Styela clava: one gene and its partners. Each later gene encodes a partner of the first gene's protein in a complex. Links are inferred from orthologs where the notes say so. Each region holds a gene or a part of one and is shown in the gene's direction. Other genes may lie near its edges.

Region 1 (7,823 bases):
GCACAACACATTTCCCCTCAGCTATCAGCCGCTTGCCGCCTTCTGCGATTGTCGTCCTCCCACTCACCACGATCTTCGCTTTGCCCAGCCTAGGCGGCCAACGCTACCGTTCGTAGTTTTTAGTCGTTATTTTGGTCGTTCTTTCTTTTTTCCATGTGTGCCTTTTCAATTTATTATGCATTAATCTATTATAACATGTATTTGTTAGAGGTTTTAACATTTATTTATATTTTATACAAATATGATTTCCGATTTTTTTGATGGGTGGGGGGGGGGGGGGGAGGGGGCGAACGAATTGAGGCATCTATAGGGTATTATGCATTCCTACTTACGAATTATTTTGATCACGAAACTACTTCCAGGACGAACCAATTTGTAAGTGGAGTTTCTACTACTTTGATTCCCTACGAATCCATCGAGATTTTCTCTAATGTCATCAAACTTCAAGTCAGGTAGGTGTATATATTTACGCTTTAACTAGATTTTAATACATTCAGACGGAAATTCAGGAAAGTAAATCCAATAGAGAGAGTAAGTCAAAGGAGAAATGTTTAAATAAAAAATATGAATGGACTCGAGAGAGAAATGAGCAGCGCCTTACGCACAGTCGGGATTGCTCGCAACGAGACGTTTCAGCTACCAACCTCTATCCGGCTCGGCGGAATGACGCATCGTGCTAAGCGTTAGGAATACGCTCGCCACCGCATCTCTGATTAGGCTACCCTTCCGGAGATCGCAGGTTCGAATTCCATGCGGGGATGATCATGCGCGAGAGGATTGCTGGACTCCTCGCCGCCGTAGGGTGGTTCACGTAACCGCTGGTCGTTTACGGCTTCCTCCACCATCAAGTTCATGCTTCCGAAAACAAATAACTGGCTAACTAATCCCATACCGGACCTGGACTGGTAACCGGACGAGAGGCCGTGGTTTGCCATATGATTAAGCCGTCTTATCGGCTTTCCTCTGCCACGGGATAAATATGTAAATCCTATCCTAAATTCATCAAAAAAAAAAATCTAGTGATGCCATAATCCGCATTTAAAGTGCTACCTGACAACATGTTGTTATGTCATTATGGTTATGCAATATCTCTAGTCCGTGACTCATCCCAAATTGCGCACTGAGCCCCATTCGAACTGTTTCCTACCCCTCTTCTGTCAGTGTCACCAATGACATTAAACAACATGATAGGCAACTCTGACGTCACTCCATAAGACTACAGGCAAAACATTGTATTTCATGATACGCTCCAATGCACATATTTCTCGTCGCCTTTCGCGTCCGTTTTCCGCTCGCTTTTGCTACTCGGCGTCTTTTTTACGTGTAGTACCTGCCTTTTTGCGCCTGTAACGAAACAAAATAATCTCTATATCTAAGAAGTTTTGCTTACTTGGAAAGCTGGAATAACAGGCAAGCTGTAAAGAGCAATTCTGGACATCATAGACTTTTTTTTTTTATCAGAGAAGATTACAAACGCGATAGCGGAAAGATTTGTGTGGAACATTTTGCAGATAATGACAAAGTTCAAAGTTAGTAATTTTAATGTTTGCGCTTAATCATTGAAATTTCATTTAAAGAGGGTGTCATACAAAACTGTGCTGCGATACAATTCCATAACACAAAGTTTGCACCTATCGAACTTGCTTTTGTAGGTGAATTTATTAGACATATTACATATTCAGTTAATCGTAGGTAACATTGCTGGTACATAATGCATCTTAGATAGGTTTGTTTAAATTTAGGAATTTAGCTCATAGCCCACTAATTAATATTATCTTCTATGCAGGAGGTTGCAGGGCTGAATTCAACTTGCAGCCTTACCGATCACCTGACGATGCTCATTTAGTTTGGCTCGAGCAAGTCTTCTTGAAATGCTTGTGTGAATGGAAACTACCTATATTTTTTGCCTTCCTCCGATTTTAGACAAATTTATTCTGAGGGATTTCGCATATAATTCTCACTGATTGTTGGCTGTTTATAATTCCTATTGATTGTGAATTCTGATTATAACAATGAGTTGAAAATTTTTTTACCTAATTTACTGGCACCTTTTTCTTGTCAATACTCCAAGCTGAGGTAATAAACATGACAATACATTTATGTCATCTGGAAGCAAAATATGCACACAAATTAATAGTTTGGCACATTGAGATAATACATCATGACAGAAAATACAAGTTAAAGATATGTATGACCATCACATGGTAATTAAAATTAAAAAAAATTAATAGGGGCTGTGGAGTATGGAAAGTTCAAGACAAAGAAAAGAACAAATGTTCATAGAACATAGCTCATATATTGTGATGCAACTAAACAGTTGGATTAAGTTTTATTATTTTCTTCAATTTCAAATGCAATTACATATTAATATTTGCATTCCACTATTATTGCAACATTTGCAAGTTACAGTATTTATTATAAAAAATTGTAAAATTCTATGTACAACCATCAAAATCATTTTTGAACAAGCTTTGAATAAGTAAAGAATAATACATACACTAAAAATAACTTAATCTAAATATATGAACCTAAAATTAACAAAAATACTACAGTATAAACTCAATGTTTTAATAATTACATTCGTCCTGGCGTTTGGCATCTTTTTTGTGTCACCAGCATACTAAGGCCAGTCTGAAATGATTTTATAGTACCAACTCTAACTAACGAGGCCACATGATCATGGGTTTATCTGGTTCTTTACGAATGTTTAATTAATTCCAGTAATGCAAAAAAGTTACTTTTATCATTTCATGTATAGATCAGTAAAAAAACAAATGACAGATTTTTTCGACAAGACATTTCGCACTACCTTGCGTGGCATAGGATTGCTTGAATTATTATTGATATTGATTTTTAGTAACTAAGTCGTTGTATAATTATATTAATATACAAACACATGGAAATTTTCTGTTCGAAGTTGGTCTTCGAATTTGTCATATTGACTGCTGAGCTTATTGTGTTTTTTGATTGTATTGATGGAAATATGACAAATTAAACAATGTGCTTCAGAATTTTGTGAAGAGCAGAAATGTTACAACTCCCATTTTCTTCGAAAATGCCACCTTCTTCGTGTACTTTGCGTTTAATTTAATTACTCAAGTGTTTTATTCAAGTATTCTTTTGCTAGCTTGATGTGTATTCTTAATTGGGTCAAAATGTGGACAAAAAAAATTAATATTCCAAAACTACTTTCAGTAAATTGTTTTCTGTGTGAATAATCAATTTCACTTTAGAAGGTTTGAAAAATCTATTACATTTAGATAAAAAAAAAACTTCCAAAATACTATTACAATTATTGTTAAGCGTTCGAGGGCCGCACTGGAAGTTCTCTGGGGCCGCGAGTTTGAGATCCCTGGTCTAGATTGAAGTTGTTCAAAAAATATATGATAGTATTTTATCATGAATGATGATTATACCCCTTCCGGAATTTCTTCTATAGTACTACCAAAAGTTGATGAACCAAATATAACACAGGTGCAGTGAGGTACCCGTAATCCTCATTTCCAAAGCTGTTTTAAGTATGTCTGGCGTGTTTTGTGCCTTTTTACAAATAAGACCGCTTATGCAATCTTACGCTTTGGAATTTTTAGTTATTTTCCTCAAGCCCTGCAGGATGTGGGGGCCATACACAACTCTACCGGAGGGTCAAATGTCTTTGGATGCCTCCATAGGTTGTTTTTCTATTGCAATTTTCAATTGCATTATATTTCTTGGAATCACACTGTCACTGATATGTCGCCAGACTTCTGATATCTCCCCGTCTGCTATAGTTGTCCTGTGAATAAATAATAGGAAATTGAGATTAGACGAATAGTTGAAAGTTTTGCTTTATGTCGGCTTAATTTCTTGATTGATATACTTACTATTTCTGCTATTGCCTCTTGTGCTGCAAGAGTCTCACAATGCTTAGACAGGTTTGTCCACAACTTTCACATCTGAAGAAAGAGAGGAGATTTATTAATTTTTGTTAAGAATAAATAAAGCAGTCTATATGATTCAGAATGGAAAAGCTAATAAATCCAATATCTCATGTTTTATTTAAAAAATATTTTACTGAATTTTGGAAAATAAACCAACTAATAAAAGGGTTTAGTCAGAAAATTACAAGCATTCGTGGCTCCAAATACTTGAGAAATCAGACTATACAATATAGACCGGTATGAGTGAAATGTTAGGTGAACTTGTTAACACTTTGATTCAATACGCAAATAAAAGTGAATGCGTAATAGTATGTTACAATGAGCAGCAATCAACAATGAGTATATATCCTCACTGATTAAAAAAATCTAACTGGAGGTGCATGAACTATTTGAAACCATAAGGAGTAAGTAAATATGTAATTTCGGCAAATGGGCAACTACGTACCGTACTGAATTAATAACTTCGTAGTATTTGACAAAGGCTGGCTTTCCCACATGTACTTAACAGTGCGATGCCCGGGTGTGATATACAACAATAGTATTCACCTTACCTTTTACCGATTTCTTTTTACCTTACTTTCAAAAATATCATTAAAATCGACAACAACTGTCAAAGCAGGCACGAACACCATTCGTGCTACGCCTTGAAAGCAGCACACATCCGCTCGTTTTCGTCTCGACAAGTATGTGCATTGGAGCGTGCTATCGAATACGATCTTCGGACAAAAATGCCGGAGTTGCGCATCATGTTGTTATATGTCATTGGTGTCACTGAGGTGTCACATTTTAGGCACCGCGTCGTATAGCTTCCCGTCAAATTTATACAGTGCCTGCACCTCCACTCCGTCACTTCAGTACCGATACTGGTACGCGTGCTACGCCTTTATTTCTTGATCTACAGATCTATCGATTGCAGTTTCAGTGAGTTGGGATAGGATACTCGTAGACTACTCAAGTTTTAATTATTTAGTGTTCTGAACAAGATATTTTTTCGAAGATAAGGGTCACACTAAAATTTCAAGATGGCAGCAAAACGACTTATGGCTGAATACAAACGTAAGTTTTGAAGTAACTCCAATCTCATATTTAGTACCGGTAGCGGTACGGTACCGGTACCATATCGGTACTGGTACGTTATTGCACAAATACGGTACTGTATGTACTGCCGCATATGCTTCTCAACCTGAGTACATGGCTTGGAGAGGCGTCAACTTTGCATTATTATAGTAATATCATCCCAGTTTCCATTAAGTTAGATGTTAAATCACTGTACCTATAGTGACAAAATTGGTGAAATTCAATAGATGAATATTGAATGATTTTTTATTTTGAACTGCATTGCGGTGCCAGTAAATACGTACGGCCATACCGGTACCCGGAACCGGTCCATTTGTTGAAATTGTGCAGATTCTGACATTACAGCATTATACGACAAAAAAAACCGATATCCCGATCCATGTTTGTGCATAGACTGTTACAGTGTTATGAAACATGCAATCTATTTACAGAGCTAATTTTTTTTCAGTAACAATTTTTTGTCACTGTGTTATTTTTGCAATGGAATTGAACTACAGCATCACCATTTTACGTCAACGAGTGTTGTATATTCCATATTTTTGTAGGAAAAGCACTGTTGTGATACACATACCATAGCCTTGCATTCCATCCTATCAAAGTGTATTTATCAAAGTGTATTTATTAATTGGGACCCACCGAGTGTTTATGTTATGTTTGAAACCCGAACGATACCCATTCGTGTCTTATCATTTTTATTTTGCATATATGTTTGTGTGTTGAATGTGAGTAAACTGGCGCATGTATATTTACATGTATTGAACCTTTATAAAGGTTTTGCCAGTTTCCCCGATTTTCCCGATCTTCTGTGTGTTCATTGTTTGTGTTTTGTGTATGATTTTTTTTGGCGGGGAAATCAAAATATACTTACTTATACATTCTTGCTTTGAAATATATTTGAAAGTTTATACTTTCATGTATGCATATATACATTTTTAGAGTTGGCGACACAAGCACCGGAAGGAATTGTTGCTGGGCCAAAGGAAGAAAGCAACTATTTTGAATGGGATGCTTGTATAATGTACGTATACATTTTTATATTCAGTCTGTTCAGTACTTTGGTTAGCGTATAAAATACTATGCTTCAAAATACTTTTATTCTTGTAGCAGGAACATCCCAACTAAGAGAAAGTTATTGAAACTTTAACCCATAGTTTTAAAACATAGGTTCAGCTTAAGTATTTCTCGAAGTCAAAGTATGTTTTTTTATGAACATACAGAAACTAATATACTCAAAATTACTCTTGTTATTTATTCTTAGATTTTCTGATAACTTAATTCTCTAAATTGGTTGAATATCTCATTAGAAATCTCCATTTATGCCATGATCTCAAATCATACATCATGTGAAAACAAATACATTCTATATAAATTGAAAATTTCGACTTCACTAAATCACTTGATATGAATTTATCTTAGATTCCTAAATGGACAAACCAAAATGAAAGTTGTATATATTTATTGCCAATTTGAATTTGACTGAACTTGTAATCCCAATTTAAATGTTCAAAAAATTGTATTCAGTCCAACAATTTTTTGTTTAGCCAACTTCGCCATAAATAGAAATGCAACATAACTTTCTGTATTTATTCTTTGAGCCCTTCATTTTTGGTTTTTGACTGATTTTGCCATGTTTGGAAGCGACTGCCCATATCTCCGGAAGACTTCTTCTTAGAGTACACTTCTTGAAAAAGCGCAACATGGCATAATCGGTCTGACAATTTTCCTAATGCAGAACAATGCAATGAAACCAACTCATTGCTAACACTTCAGCTACGAGTTAAAATAATACCACCAGAGTATGACTAAGCTTTATTTTTTTTATAGGGGACCAATAGGCACACCATTCGAAGGTGGAGTTTTTTCAGCTGTGATGACTTTTCCATCAGATTATCCTCTTAGTCCTCCTACAATGCGATTTACATGTGATATGTTTCATCCAAACAGTAAGATTTTGATATATCAGTTTAATAATCATTAAGTGCAATTTATATATATTTAATTCACTTTCTCAATTTAGACATCCAGATTACCTTATTATGAATAACATAACACTATGAATTTTACAGCAAGGCTACACATGCAAATGTTATATAGCAGAGAATGGTTGGTATTCTATTGATCATAAAACTTAGTTACCTCTGGATCTGGTAATTGTGTAGTGGTGTAGTCCTTTTGCATCTATACATATTTTGGTCCTTTGAAAATTATTTTGTATGATGAAATCAATTTTTTGTGTGATAGAACTAGGGCTGTGAGCTTGATTCGGAGCCTGTAGCTTGGGGCTTTGACATTTTGGTCGGGCTGGAGCCAAGCTAACATGTTAGATGGAGCTGGAGCTACCAGAAATGGATTTAGTGGATACCAGCTCCTAACGATCTAATTATTTTGAACGTTCATAATTTTCTGATACAAATAATAAAAACTATCCTTTTCAGCTCTTGAATTGTTATAAATTTCAACGTACAATATTGATTTGAGAGTTTCAAGTTGTCAATTTATATATTTAACACTTTGATTTTGAAACCCGTATATCATAGTTTTGAGTCCAGCTTCCACGAAACTGCATTGTGGCAAATATTTCATGATAGTGGTCACACTGGTTAAAAACCTCATTAGGTATGGAGTCGAAGCCCGGCTGAGATTATAAAAACAAAACTGCAGAGCGGAGCAACTGTGATTTTATTCCAGCTATCCAGCCGTGTACAAAACTAGAAGTTTTTTTAAATCACGTCATAATTTGTTTGTTAATAATTGGAAGCTGAAATATCTTCTTAATCTTTTCAATTCCAACAGTATATCCAGATGGAAGAGTTTGCATTTCAATAT
Region 2 (7,415 bases), on another chromosome or scaffold:
CGTGAATAAATGTTAGCGATGTTGCGAATTCTTACATACCAATCTGAAAGAACACGATTTAGGCTTTAGAAATATCTCCGAGTTTGCAGATACTTTTATCTGTACTCGACCGTACTTCCAGACCAGTGGATCTCAAAGTCACGCGGCCCATTTTTATAATTTGTCAAGTTTCGTGCCCCACCTCAAAAAAACTGGCTAACAATAGGCTACAAATAACGGATAGTAAGGTGAAAGTATATTTTATTCAAAAAACACGTTGAAAATACGAGGATGGAACGTAAATAATGAAATAGATGAAAGTTTTGAAATTTAAATATCCAAAATAAGCCAGACAAGATCAAAACTAACAAATATTTTTATTTTTAATTAGCTCCACGCCCTCTCAGAAAATTGTCTACGCCCGCCTTGACGTGTCCCACCTTTGAAAACCACTGTCCGAATCGATTCGAGTCCATATCTTTCCTCATCCCCCTTAAATAAAACTCACCCGTCAAATAACTCGTAGTTTAGTTATTATGCAACAGTAGCACAAAATATGTATTTTGATTGGGAAATTATTTATCATAGTTGAGTCTGTGTACATTAGGTGTAGAAACATCTTTATCACATTCAAAGCAGGATGTGAACTCTGTTCTTATGTTTTGCTCTCGTAAGCTAATTGAAAATGAGATTTCGTGTCACAAGAATAGTTTCTGGTTTTGTGAAGAAATTAATTATAGAAATTAATAATTATCAAAAGGTCCGATTCTCAAATTTACTATTTTTCATGCAATAATTTATGCAAATATTAGTTTGATTTGAGACAAATTATATGGCCAGATCTGGCGAAGAACATTATGGTGCCTAGGAAGATTGGAATTGTTTTGTCTGATCAAACTTTTCATTTTTGCTAGCTCATGTGACATTCGTTACACTGACGGAGTACAGTCTTTGAACTGGGCAAAAATATTGAAGACAATTGTTGATGATCCCGAAGCTTTCTTTGATCAGGGTGGATGGAGCTTCCTTGAACCTGAGAGTGACGTAAGTTGATTCTACGATAATCCATTGCTTAACACAGCGGTTCCCAAACTTGTCATTCGTTCGGCGCACTTACATGAAAAAAAATTGCTGCCTTTAAATAAAATTTTACTTTGTGGTCGTAACAGTGAGTAAACGACATAAAAAGGTAAATTTAATTTATTGATTCACATACACATTTAAAGTAAGAAACAATAAAAACAAGTACAATATATTAAATATTCAATGTTCAAGTTATGTTTAACCCAATTCTGGACATTTTCGGGGCGCACTTAGCAAATCGCCGCCTGGCGTAACGTTAACGTATTTTTTATATTTCGGAAAAGGGATATGGTAGATATCTAGTGGTTATTATACTTTTATGCTTCATGGTCTCTCAACACTAATCTGAAATAGCACCTAGTGACATTCTTCACTCATGGCCCCAAGAAACCTCCTCTGTGGCCCTTCGGAGAAAGAAGCCCAGTTTGAAAAAAAACTCAAGCTGACTCAATAATGGCTGCAGATACATTGACTTGGATGAAAGAAGATTTGAAATGAGAGAATTTAGAGTATAAAACCTTGGTCCTATGGCACCTAGAAAAATCACCCCCAATATTCGCTTTGTGGCCCTCATGGAAAGGTCGGGTTGGATAAACTCTGGGATAAATCATTAATGTTTGCAAATCCATAAGGTTGATGATAGAAGAATTTAAGGCAGAGTATTTAAACCTTGAAATTCTTTGTTTCAAACCAGGAGGATGCTGGAGATGATTCTGAAGAAGAAGAAGAGTTTGTTCCAGAGGATGGCTCTGAAGCGGAAGGATCCGAGACAGATGAAGATAGTGATGAGGATTATTCAAGTGAGGCAGAATCATCCTTTGATGAAGAATCTTTAGGAAGTGGAGAAGAAAGCGGGAAAGACTGGGATGAATTAGAAGAGGAAGCAAAACGGGGTAAGAACTTAATCATTGATGCTGTATTTTTGTTCTACTATCTTATAGATATTGTGTGGGGTTAATTTGACATTGGAATAAATTGTGGAATACTTTATTTGGAAAATGTGATTTAGGGTGAACAACATCTGATGGTCAGTCAAAAACATATGCACCATTTGAATTACCATAATATTCAATCTCTATCAATTAACAATGATTCAATCAGTAATCTTATTGAACACAAAGTGTATTTAGGAATCGTTTTGTTATTAGGTTGTTGTTAGTATTTTTCTTTATCTTTTTGTGATTTTTCGCTTCTATTACTGGACCAATTGCTTTGAAATTTAGAGTGTTTTAGTGATTAAAGATGGTTGTTGTCGCTAGAAGGCTATTACTTTTGTGCTTAAATTTCCCATGAGATCTGATATTTCATTTAAAATTTTGCTGTTTCATTTATTTTTTGATGGGGTTATGTTTTTTATGACATCGTGACTGTTGTCTTCTGTTTTGTCTGGTGGTCAGGCGAGGGTCATGAACACTGTGGTACCTGTAGTCTACTGTGACTGACTGCATAACCGTACCACTTTCTTTTGGCCTTTGTGTCCATCTATTGAGGCATCGCTTTCTTGTTTCAATTATAACTACGAAATTTTAAACCTCAAACTAAAAAAGGGTGATCACCTTCTTAAGACCAAGGTGGTTCCATTACATTTGAACCCACGTACATTTGAACCCATGACAATTGCACCTGTATGCTATTGCACCTATGGAATTTTTTTTGTTTCACGGATAGTTAAACCCATACTAACCCTAACCCATGGGTTTTAGCACCCGCATATAGATTGAACCCGTGGATATACGCATAGGTTCAAATGTACATGGGTTCAAATGTACGGTCACCGACCAAGGTATTCTGCCATATAGGGCATCTGGTTTGATACAATATTGATATTTTCTGGTTCATAATGATAACATAAATGCATCATGCTTTTGTCACAGCTGATCGAGGACAGTATGAAGAGGAGGTAGTCACAAGTTCTTCGAAAAAAAGAAAGAGGGATCATAGTGGAAGTCGAAAATCACACAAGAAGCGAAAATAAAAATTAGTTTCAGCCAATCAATGCTGAAGATGTTGGTGTTCGCTACATTAGCGAGAGTGAAATTCTGTGCTTGTATTTTTCAACACTAGGAAATTTTTTGTACCTCAGAGTTTCGCTTTTGTAAATATTTTTGTGTTTTGTATAATAGTTACGAACTTGACTGCCATAATAGACTGCTCATACCAACATGTTAAAATAACTGTCACGCACTCTCAAAGTAACTAAGTGGTAATATACTTATGGTAACTTGTGTCTATCTTTGCTAAAAGGGTCTGCTTATCTTTCTCTCCACATAGCTAATCATTTCTAGTCTGTGTTTCTTCTTTTAATAAGTTGTTCTTATCATGCTGCCAAAATATGTTCCTTTTCCGAGTCCGTACATGTCAAAACTTTGATTAGATTTGCCATTGGTTCTTTAAATTTCTGGTCTTTTTCTTCTCGGCCTATAGCAGTTGTTAGTGTTTATGTTCCAACAAGAATATTCTCAATATTATCTGTGGTCTCTACTTGTTTGATACCATTTGCTGAACATCGTAATAACTAGTTTTGTATTTTGCAATTTTCTTGATGTGGTTAAGATTTTAAGGGGGATTTTTAGCGGAACAGTAGGATAGAATCAATACAAATAAATCTTCCTAACGTTTTTGCCGTATCACCACTGAAATGAATATACATATTTGTCATGGAAAATCTAAGGTAGGTGGTGGCGAACCATATCTGGTAACCGTTCACCAATTTCCGTGTATATGGATGATGGAGTAAGCTGTGGCCACGCCGTGGTTGCCCGGGCACAGTTGGGCGAATCTCACTTGCTGTGACAACCGACAGCAGCGCTGAATTTGAGAAAGCATTTTACCTCGCATGCAAATTAAATATACATCATTGACACCAACTGTAGTAAATGCATACAATATTTCAATTAATAGTAGTTTGGTTGTGTTGGTCACTTTAGGGTTACAGTTGTCGATATATGGTAAAATATCATACAGAGTCTATAACAAGGAAATCAACCGATCGTCAATTTTATAACGTTTTCCATGCATGAAAAATGGTAGTGTGTGTGTGAACTTATGCAGGTGCTGGAAACATCTGTTCGATTAAAACACCAGAACCCGAGTCAGTTTTCCGAATTTGCGTGTATTTGTACACATACGGGCTAGCATACTACAGTAACTGATTTGTTAATACAGCATATACTTTTCTATAGTGAGACATGTCCGTTCAGTTGGTTGGTGGGTAAATCATCCAGTCGGGCAAAAATATTTGCGGACACTATTTCACATTGACAAGTCCTATCGCCAGCCGCGTAGTCACGTGACTGCGCTAAGAATCAATAAGCGATATTTATGAGAGACCGGGAAGCTGTTGGCTGTAGCCGTAACTGGCATTCCTGCCTAGCCTGTAGTTGTATATGAAATTTCATACTCTGATGGCATAACGTTGTTCAGATGTCAGAGCTACTACAGTGACCTTTACGCAAAAGAACTCAATACAGTACGGTACCGGTATGATTAGGTATTTATGGTTTGGCAAACTTTAAGATAATATTTTAAAGCATTGTGTTCTGTACGGTATATCGCAGCTCCGTGCTTTTATTGGAGATCAAAATGAATAGTCTACAAAATGCATCAAAGACCTGTAGTACTTGATGTTTAAATCTCTTTTGAAACTTGTCAATTTTCCGGACCTTTTGCCCTGTCTGTTTATAAAGTTTGGATAGGATAAAAGGATACAGTACACTCAGAATATCTCATTTTTTGTGAACTATTGCTGTAGGACAGATGGGTAGACTTTCTAATGCGGGGGATCCATACAAGCAGACAAGGCTGTATTTCGTATTTTTTCATTTTATTTACTGCCTTCAATTGCGTTGAAATTTATATTTTCAGATTATATTCTTGAATTTATTGTAATTAATAGTTTTGCAACTTCCATATATAATTAAGAAGAGAAAAATGGATAGAGAAATTCAAAAAATGTTTTCGACTGATCGGATTCCGAACATTCAGTCAAGTGTACTTGTTTTTGCATATCTTCCCATTGGAATATTGCTCTTCCTTCTGAGAATATGCCTGCTATTGAACTTTGTTATCGCAAGGCAGTTATTGAAATTAATTATGAAAGAAAACAATCCTGTATTCAAGAATATAAGTTGGATATATATGGTTATACTCGGTGTTAAAGTTAGCGTGAATGGAGCAATATGTGCAAACGTTTTAATATCAAATCAAAAGTCAAACATTGATGGATTTATATTCAGCCATGGACTTAATGTTGTAAGTGAGAACAAGTGGAACTTGGGGCCATTTATGCGAAAAATACTACGATTGGAAAATTTTAAAAATATTGTTGCGGGTAAGACATTACCGATTGTCATTTTCCCAGAAGGTTGTCCAACTACTGGTGCTGGAATATTAAAGTTTGAAACTTCTTACTTCAAAAGAACAAACTGTGTTCAAGTTGGTGCAATCTCAACATATAGAATCCTGCCAATTTCTACTGCCACTGCACATAGTACTTTGATTGGTGATATGTTTTGGATGCTTTTTACACCTGTAACCTCATATACAATTCAACTGTCAGAAACAGTCGTTAAAAGAGATGACAATATGAGTGAAAATGATTTTTTAAATTCAACAATGACACAAATATCAAACATGTTGAGGGTTCCAGTTTTAACAATCTCTTGTCAGGACAAAAATAAATATTTTGAAAACTTGAGGCGACAAAGAGAAGCTCAAAAAAGGGCAATATCCAATGCGAGTCAAAAACTTCTCCATATGGCCAGTAAAGTGCAAGAGATTGTACCGCATGTTCCACGAAATGTCATTTTGAATGATTTAGCCAAAACTAATTCTATTGATGTGACATTGACAAATATATTTGAAGGTATTGTTAAATTTTCACCTATTAAACCGAAGCCAAAGAAACAACCAAAAGTGAAACAGCCATCACCACAGTCATTGCTGGAAAAAAGGAAAGCTGAAATGTATGAGATGGCGAGAAAAAGGTACAAGGAAAAGCATGAATTGTAACGCTTATCAAGTATTGTCATCCATGTGCAATGTTGGATTTTCTGTCAAAATCATTGGAGAAACTTGGAATCTTCGTTTCCGTTATGGATGCCGAACTGAACAGACCAATATTTAAAAATATCCAGAATTTGAATTTCTATGTACTATTTATTAAAAATGTCTATTGTCTATTAATGAGATTTGAAAAGTTTGGCATGTAAAATAATTGAAATTAAAACCTGAATTTTAGACTACATTACTGCCATGAATTTGGAATAGCAGAACAAGCTGTATTGCTAAATATTTTTATACTCGCTGTTTTATAGAATTTCAGTGCAATCTGAATACATCGAAGACCTAATTTTCAATGAGATGTGCATTAGCTGTAAAAACAGAGCGCCACAGAGCGGGTGGCTTGTGTGTTTTTTGGTTTGTCTTGATTTCTTATATGCATGTGGTGGCCATAAGAATCTTTTCAAACATCGATCAAGCCATAATTTTGCTCCACTTGTTAATTCTTCAGTACTCTAAAACTGGTTACAATTCTTACTCCTGATTTGTGCAGTTTGAAATGACATACCAGACTATAATACCACTGAAAAACTTGACAATATGTCATGCTGAATATTCTCTTGCACAACTACACATATTTGACTCGGACACTGGCCACCAAATATGCAACTCTATGACTGAAGTTGTGTTGGTGTTTTCAAAGTTATTTAAGAGTAAATTTATAACACTTGTTGCTTTGTGAAATATAATTGAAAGTTTATATGCTTATGTTGTGTGTTTTTGCTGTGACTTATTCGGTAGTCATAGTCTCATTGATGGGACTTCTGTTTTCAGGTATCTGTCTTAGGCCTTTTTTGTTTTCAATTGGGGAAAAATAAGACATCTAACTAGGAAATAGATCTGATTCAATATATATACAACTAAATAATATTTTCGTTGAGTTTTCCGTGAGGTATGCTATTTTATTTTCCAATTAAAGACTGTCAATTCGGTCTAGTATAATGTTTGAAAACATCTAAATAAAGCATTTTATTGGCTTCATGACGTTAGTTAAACGCTGTGAGGCTTGCGAGGAAGTCAATTAACAACTCAATTAAAAACGTTTCAGAAAAGAAATTGGTTACTTCATATGAGGATAAGGAACTGGGTACCTATGTAGTGATGAAAATCAAAGCCATTCGAGTGTCATGACAATTTTTGAATTTTTTTTTTTGACACTGTTTGTCCGACAATAATAGCCCTATCAGCTATTATCTTGTTTGTATAACAAAACCTGCGGCGACCGCGCAAAAAACAATACCACCAACGCAACAAAATTAGACCAGGATGGTCCGAGGTTGTCATATCGAAGG
Region 3 (7,404 bases), on another chromosome or scaffold:
AAAAATGCTTTCTAGAGCATATTTATGTATTTTTCTCAACATTTGAGGACTAAAAATATCAAAAACGCGTTTCTATAGACCAGGGGTCACCAAACTACGGCCCGCGGGCCGGATCCGGCCCGCGTCGTCATTTTATCCGGCCCGCAATAACACACAAAAGTGGCCAAATATTTTTCCAAGAAAAATTTTCTCGAGCATCGTCTTCCTTGTTTATTTCGTAACATTGGCCAATCAGCAAGATGCAGAAAAAATGACGTAATAATGGGCCTTTTCGCATCCGCTCAGACACTTTGGTCACCCTGACAGATTTTCAGTCGTGGTTGTAAAAAATACTTCATTTTTTGCGATTCTGAATGCTATTTGTTAGTTTCTGGTTGTGTTTGGGAAATTTAAGTACCGTATGAATCAAATAAGTCAATCATCATTTGCCTCTTTAGGAGTTGTAGTTTTAATAGTAGTAATGAAAAATTAGTCTAAGAAATAGCTGTGACAAAATGGGCTAAAATTTTCTACCGGGAGGCAACGTTTTCTGCGAAAGATGCACTCGCCGAAACTGTTTACGTCTTCGTGCTAAAATGAACGTCGAATGTGCATTTTGCGCTAACAGTACTGTAATCCCTTGCGCACTGGTCCAATTTCATTCTTTTTGACAAAAATATTTGTCCGGCCCGTTTCAACACAGTTTGAGTCATACCCGGCCCGCGTTCAAAAAAGTTTGGTGACCCCTGCTATAGACCTAAAACACCACCGTAGAAAATGCCAAAAGACTGACAACTCACCAGGCCTCTAGGTCAGTAGGTAGTCGAGTTGTCTCTGGTGAGTTGTCCGTGTAGTTGAGTTGTCCCTCAGCCGTTTATACAACTTCATCGCCCCCCCTGCACTACAAAAAATGTAAAGTCTGAAACGAATATATTACAGACCAAAAAGGAAGGCAAATCATAGTTTATAGTGTTTTTTAATTAGATGGATGAGCTTGGTGTTCTTCAACAAGTTATTTATTATATCTAAAATTAACCCGTTTACTGATGAAAAGGCGATTTCGTTGTTTTGATAGCAATAGTAGCACGGTTGAAAACCCCCTTTTCACCATATAATAGGTCAGAAATGAAAGAATTCAGGGTTCTACCTCCATAAAAACCGCCGTGTACGGTACTTGCATTATAGCATTTCACTCCCTAAATTCACCCCATTTCCACAAAATAATGAAAACAAAGTTAATTTTCCCAAATTTATAATGATGATTATCGTACATCTAATTCATTCCTACAGCCAAGACAGCCTTTTGACCTGTACCAAAATACTTCGGTAAAATTCATCCCCGATTCCTCAGTCTACCACGATCTCCAGTTCATAGAATTAATCAGCCATTTGTTTTTGGATTCATGGACTCGGATGTGGAAGAAGTCGTGACCGACTATCGGCTACGGCCCAGGGGCAGCAAATTTTATGTCACTCGCGGGACAAAATTCAGAGTTGCTAGTCTTTTGCGGGTCGCTTTTATTTTTTAAAGTTAAAAACGGAACAGTGCGCAAAAACTGCGACAATTCGTGAATTCAACTCAGTCGTCTTATTAAAAAATTATTACAATGACATTTAATGTGACACTGTCTTGTTGCTGCATCACGCTTGATAGCTTTACGACACCAAGATTGGTACTTTTTCTAAATGGGCGTCACTAATTCATCACCTAGTTCTTTGCTTGTTCTTTGTAATGTTCATTTTCGGAAATAAATTTGCGCACAAATATGTACTTCCAAACATCGAAGTGAGTATTTTCGCATGGTTTGTGAAATTTTGATAAAGATATTCTTTAACATTTTTACAAAAATTAAGCAGTGATTGAACCTCTCGAATAGAATATGAATTTTATTTCCCTATTGCATTGCAATATACTGATATATTCGAATATTTACTGCGCTATTGAACCCCTGCCCTCAGGCCTCAGCATCAACTTTTCTTCGTGTTTCCATTTGTCTAATTATAATTAAATTGTAGGCTCGTTAAACGAGTAGCTGGTCAATGGAATTTTCAGGATATAATAAAATTTAGTCTAAAGCAGGGGTGTCAAACTCGTGGGTTTCCGAGGGCCGCATTGCATTTTGGGAATTGTGCAAAGGGCCGCAATCAGTTTTTGATATATATATTTTGATAATGTATACTTGAAGCATATTTTTAGATGGGTGTAGTTTGTGACATATATTGTGATGCAATTAAACAGTTGAATAAAGTTTTGTTATCTTCCTAAATTTCAAATGACGTTTACATATTAATTATATTATTGCAATTTACCGTAATTACGAAAAATCATGAATTTTTATGTACAACTATCCAAAACATTTTTAAACAAAGTTTTGTAAAGGGAAGAATAATACATGCACTAAAAATGACTTACCGGAATCTAAATATATAGACCTAAAATTTACAAAAATACTACAGAATAAACTCAATGTTTTTTCATTACATATGTCTTGACATTTTGTATCTCTTTTGTGCAACCAGCTTACTAATATCAGGCTGAAATGATTTTACAGTCCCAACTCTAATTAACGAAGTCACATGATCGTCGGTTAATCTGGATTGTTGAGAATGTTCAATTAATTTCAGTAATGCAAAAATATTACGTTTATCATCCCATGTATAAATCCGTAAACAAACAAATGACTGACTTTTCGGACCAGATATTTCACGACATTTCCTACCATTACGTGGCATAGGACCGCTCTAGTTATGATTGATATTGATTTTTAGTAACTAGGTAGTTGTATAATTATACTGTAATAATATACAAACACATGAAAAGTTTATTTTCGAAGTTGATCTCTAAATTTGTCATATTGATTGCTGAGCATATTTTGATAATGTCTACTTATATTGTATTCTTTATTGTACTGAGGAAATGTGACAAATCGAACAATGTGCTCCATTAGTATTTTGAGAAATGCAGAAATATTGCAGCTCCCATTTTTCTTTAAAAATGCCATTTTCTTCATGTACTTTGCGTTTCATTTAATCCCTGAAGTCCTGAAGTGTTTTATTCAAGTATTTTATTGCTAGCTTGAGGTGTATTCATAATTGGGTCAAATTGAAAAACATTTTTATTTTAATTTTTCAGAACTACTTTCAATAAATTGTCGTTTTCTGTGTCAATAAACAATTTCACTTTGAAAGGTTCGAAAAATGTATTACATTTAGATAAAAAAAAAAACTTACAAAATATTACAATTATTGTTAGGCGTCCGAGGGCCGCATTGTAAGTTCTCTGGGGCCGCATGTGGCCCGCGGGCCGCGAGTTTGACAACCCTGGTCTAAAGTAGGCTCACGATAAATTCTGTTGTCTAAAAAATATAATTTACTCCTCGAGCGTAGATTATAAATAAAATTAATTCATCGTCAAAACCGCCGTTTGGATGTTTCCCCAGGCATACCCTTCCTTGTTTACTTTGTGGCATTGCCCAATCAGCAATCAGCAAGATGCAAAAATAAACGTAACAATGCCCCCTTCCGCATCCGCTCAGACACACCCTCATTTTCGCGTTTTTTTAAATATATTTGTTAGTTTTTAGTTGTTTTTCGGAAATTTAATATAAGTCAATGATTACTTTGTCTTCCTATGAGTTTCAGTTTAAATACAGTAATCAAAAAGTGTAAAATAATATGTGATAGACTAGGCTAAAATTCTTTATCGTCACTTTTAAAAAACAGGAAGAATTTTTCGCGGTCAAAGGTCGGGGAAAGGTCCATTCAGTGAATCGTCCCTGAGCAGATTATTTTACTCCGGCCGTATTTTGCCGAGCGATACGCGAACTACCGTAACTTACTGCGAAGACGAGTCCAGTAATCCTTTGGCGTGTAATAATCGCCCCCGTGATTCAAGCATGCGAATGCACACAGAGTACAGAATTAAGTGCACGATGCGTCGAACAAAATCAGGTTTCGTGAAATCGCCCCCTTTGACTTTTTCGCCCCCCTCTGTATCATTTTCGCCCACCGCCCACTTTGGGAATCACTGGGCTAGAGTAAGGTAACCTTGGTCTGTTTAGGTATCGTAATTTAGGTTTCGTTCCGATAATTGCAGGACAGCAGGAACTTGTTTTTACCACTGTCCCCCAAAGTTTGCTGTTTTACCTGGAAAATCACCTAGATGTAGGCGTATATAGATGTATATAAAATGTCCTTTGAAAGACAGAAAGATATCTTTGGTAGGTTTATGTAAAAATTCTTCCCAGTTCCGGTTATTTATGGTCTGTTCCGGTTATTAAAGGAACCCATTATCTGTAGACTATACCGGAATATTAATTTTTTATTTGTGCCACAATTGCAGAAAGTATTTGTTAGGCAAAAACAAGTAAAATGCCTTCGTCTTTTGTCCTTCGAAGGATACCTGTTATGCTTCCAAGCATACAGCTATACACAGTAGCAAGCATTCTATTGCTTGTATTAGTTGTTTTTTGGGCTGATAAGGAACACACAAGAATGAATTCAAAACAATCAGAAAACCCATCAATGACTGTTGATAAGTTTCATACACATCAACAACCAGATGTTGAAATGTCCTCTGTTTCTGAACGAGGCATGTTCGGTATATCTTATGTTCAAGGTAGGCTACCAAGCTTTTGAAGTTATTAATTTGTCATATTACTGTATTACGATTGGCTTGTAAATGGAAAATCGACTGCATGTAGATGTCCATTGTATCATCCTTTACCATACACCAAGATCTATAATATTGATTTTTTTTTCATGGAGCAAACGTTCTCTGTGAAAACCTTGTTTATTTGTATTTGACTACTACTTTTTTTGTTTAAAAACCCGTTATTTCTAGTCGACCATTCATTCCAAGTGCATAACTCTTGATTTTGTATTTCATTTTCTGACATAAAAAAATATTGGCCCATGCTGCATTCGGAGAAGTAATCAAAAAATCGCACTTAGTGTTTTTTCGTCATAAAATTAACCAGAAAAATCTTTTGACATATTGTTACACCACCAATGTCTCTGAATTGTCCGATGTTATGGCTAGCTGAGGCAACTAGTGAAGTTGAATGATGTTCTTGGCAGTCCTTCTATCTTTTTGGTCAGGAATATGCTAACAATTTTAGCATCATAAGGAGCTTAAGTTCAATGCCAATTCTTTTAGCCTAGGTTGGCTGTGCCTGATAACTAAATGTTATTGTCATGGTCTAACAATATAATTCATGTTGGGTGTTTATTGCGACCATCCTAAACAGAATTACAAAAAATGCTGCCTATATTAGTAATTACCCTCGGCCTTGATGTTCGGAAGCATTTACATTTGCAGAAACACTTTCTGTTTTACAGAGTTCGAAATCTTACCATAAATAAAAATATAGAAAGACTTTTGTATGTTTCAGTAAGTTTTTGGTGGTTTGGCACTATTGTGGCCTGCGAACAATGCAAAAATAATTGTGTGGCCTCCGGAGCCAACAACCTTGGACCACCCTGGTCTAGTCAATAAAATGTGAAGCCAAATACTTTTTTATACAATTTTTATTAATGTGAACTATGAAGGTTTTCAGTCGTGGATAAACACGATCATATTATGAGCAGATTGTAACTTGGTGGGATGCCAATATCCTCGGTTACATAATAAATCTTTTCATCATCCAACTGTCTTTTGTTATTATAAAAATTTAGCATTGTTGTGTGATTTAACTGTAGTTATGTGAACTAGTCACAATCTTCTTTAGGCATTCAACTCCATATTTATATATTGAAATACCATCTTCAAAAGACCAGTTTGATCCATGAGTCATTATAGGTATTTGTAAAAGCAAGTGAGAATATAAATTTGCAATATGGGCAAATCTGGTTCTAAGGACACATCTAATCTGATTTACTGTAAACCTGTCAAAGTGTTAATGATTTCACCCAGATAGGATAGGATCTATTCAAGTATCATCAAGTTTGATCAAATCTCAGAATTGATGTGTAAATTTGCAGTTGTAAAATAAAATAAATTGTTCTGAAAGTTGTATTTCATTGGTTGTTCGTGTGAGGAGAATATGGGGCACGATACGGTAGAGCAGACCCTATAGATAGGCCAAACTAACATAGATATTATATAAGTTGATTTCTGGATTGCCAATGTTTTCTTTTTTTCAGGAGTTGTAATAATCATGCTCGATGAGCCCCTTACTCTTGGTGTGTTAATCAATGCTGCTTATTGTTTATTTGCACTTGGCGCAAAATTTATTCTCAAAGTTGTATTTGGAAACTTGAGAGTTGTAGAAAGACAACATATTAAGGTTTGATATATTCCATGGCTATTACCATTTTTTTTTCTCTGTGTAAAACTTTCTAAAAAAGTTTGAATGTGATCTGATTGACTAAACTAATGTAATTTTTAAATTCTTGTAAACCTTAAAAATTGTATCTGATCGTGCCATGCACTGGTTTTATTTTGTCGCATAACATTTTATTGTTTTTTGAGTGCCCACAAGGGTGAATGTAAAATTTCTATTTTAAACTAGGATAAATTAATAGTAATATTTTTATGTTTTGAATTAGTTTGTACTGTAGCCTTTCACTTTTTATGTGGTTTATAGAATTGAAGGAAAAGATATTTTGGAACAGTTCAGAAAAAAAGATATCCATTGTATTGTTTTTGTTAATAGTGCAATTTTGATTCTTATGAACTTAATTAAATATTTAAAAATTGAAATGGAGAACATAACACAGAATGGTGGATGTATTCTAACTGAATAATGATGAATATAATATAAAGTTGTACTGATATTGCATCATACCATGTCTCATTTCTGAATATGTTAATTTAATGCCCTTATATAAAATCAATAGGCATGAGTCAGCTTGTTTGCTGTACTGTCTGCCTCATGCCATCAATTCAATGTTTACTGAGAGAAAACAACCATTTTTCGATGTTACATTATTTTTGTTGTAAAATTTTAAAGATACGTTAAGATGTCATTATTAAAATATATTTTATATTGATAAAATCATGGTATTAGGTATGTATGTTTATTTGCCTCAAAAATGTAACAATCTCTGAATAATAATTAAACAGTAAAACAGAGACTGGATACATGTTCCAGACCTTACCCAACACCCCTAACAATTATAACAGCAGTTTAGGACTGTTGCGTTATAATAGGACAACGGGCATGAAATATGCTATACAAATACAACTCAAGTAAAATACACAAGACAAAGAGGTACGACACAACGACGATATGTATAATTTAGTCAGTTTGTTTATGTCCATGTCACAGTTTATGGCTTCCATTACAAAATGTTCAATAGAAAATTTAACTGATTATTTTTATATTGGCAACAGGACAAATTCTGGAACTTTGTATTCTACAAATTCATATTTGTGTTTGGAGTGATGAATGTTCTTACACTGAATGAGGTCTTATTATGGGT

Evidence for each region.
Region 2: the proteins of ubiquitin-conjugating enzyme E2 G2-like (region 1) and lipid droplet-regulating VLDL assembly factor AUP1-like are in contact, whole or in part, in a crystal structure (PDB 7LEW), measured with the Homo sapiens proteins. The link is inferred for Styela clava from reciprocal best matches to the Homo sapiens genes UBE2G2 and AUP1. Residues at the interface, in NP_003334.2 of Homo sapiens: Tyr13, Thr17, Pro20, Gly23, Ile24, Val25, Ala26, Gly27, Pro28, Met29, Asn30, Glu31, Glu38, Leu40, Met42, Glu45, Glu50, Phe51, Val53, Pro55, Lys156, Val159, Gln160, Ser162, Leu163, Leu165; in NP_853553.1 of Homo sapiens: Ser379, Arg382, Gln383, Leu386, Arg389, Lys390, Leu393, Tyr394, Tyr396, Ala397, Arg398, Arg400, Phe401, Thr402.
Region 3: the proteins of ubiquitin-conjugating enzyme E2 G2-like (region 1) and E3 ubiquitin-protein ligase AMFR-like are in contact, whole or in part, in an NMR structure (PDB 2LXP), measured with the Homo sapiens proteins. The link is inferred for Styela clava from reciprocal best matches to the Homo sapiens genes UBE2G2 and AMFR. Residues at the interface, in NP_003334.2 of Homo sapiens: Tyr13, Leu16, Thr17, Pro20, Gly23, Ile24, Val25, Ala26, Gly27, Pro28, Met29, Asn30, Glu31, Glu38, Leu40, Met42, Glu45, Glu50, Phe51, Val53, Val159, Gln160, Leu163, Gly164, Leu165; in NP_001135.3 of Homo sapiens: Ser574, Ala575, Arg578, Gln579, Met581, Leu582, Arg585, Lys586, Leu589, Leu590, Ala593, Arg594, Arg596, Phe597, Leu598, Lys600.

What each region holds. Positions count from the first base shown.
Region 1 is NC_135261.1:20,878,186-20,886,008, forward strand, and holds the start of ubiquitin-conjugating enzyme E2 G2-like, read left to right. Parts: upstream 1-4,718; 5' UTR 4,719-4,942; coding exon 4,943-4,976; intron 4,977-5,933; coding exon 5,934-6,015; intron 6,016-6,821; coding exon 6,822-6,940; intron 6,941-7,790; coding exon 7,791-7,823. UniProt on the Homo sapiens protein: Accepts ubiquitin from the E1 complex and catalyzes its covalent attachment to other proteins. In vitro catalyzes 'Lys-48'-linked polyubiquitination. Involved in endoplasmic reticulum-associated degradation (ERAD).
Region 2 is NC_135262.1:5,698,100-5,705,514, reverse strand, and holds lipid droplet-regulating VLDL assembly factor AUP1-like, read left to right. Parts: upstream 1-4,854; 5' UTR 4,855-4,992; coding exon 4,993-6,072; 3' UTR 6,073-6,831; downstream 6,832-7,415. Other genes in the region: FACT complex subunit SPT16-like, read left to right, coding at 894-1,023, 1,757-1,955, 2,937-3,037. UniProt on the Homo sapiens protein: Plays a role in the translocation of terminally misfolded proteins from the endoplasmic reticulum lumen to the cytoplasm and their degradation by the proteasome. Plays a role in lipid droplet formation. Induces lipid droplet clustering.
Region 3 is NC_135257.1:56,136-63,539, forward strand, and holds the start of E3 ubiquitin-protein ligase AMFR-like, read left to right. Parts: upstream 1-4,303; 5' UTR 4,304-4,350; coding exon 4,351-4,597; intron 4,598-6,123; coding exon 6,124-6,266; intron 6,267-7,315; coding exon 7,316-7,404. UniProt on the Homo sapiens protein: E3 ubiquitin-protein ligase that mediates the polyubiquitination of lysine and cysteine residues on target proteins, such as CD3D, CYP3A4, CFTR, INSIG1, SOAT2/ACAT2 and APOB for proteasomal degradation.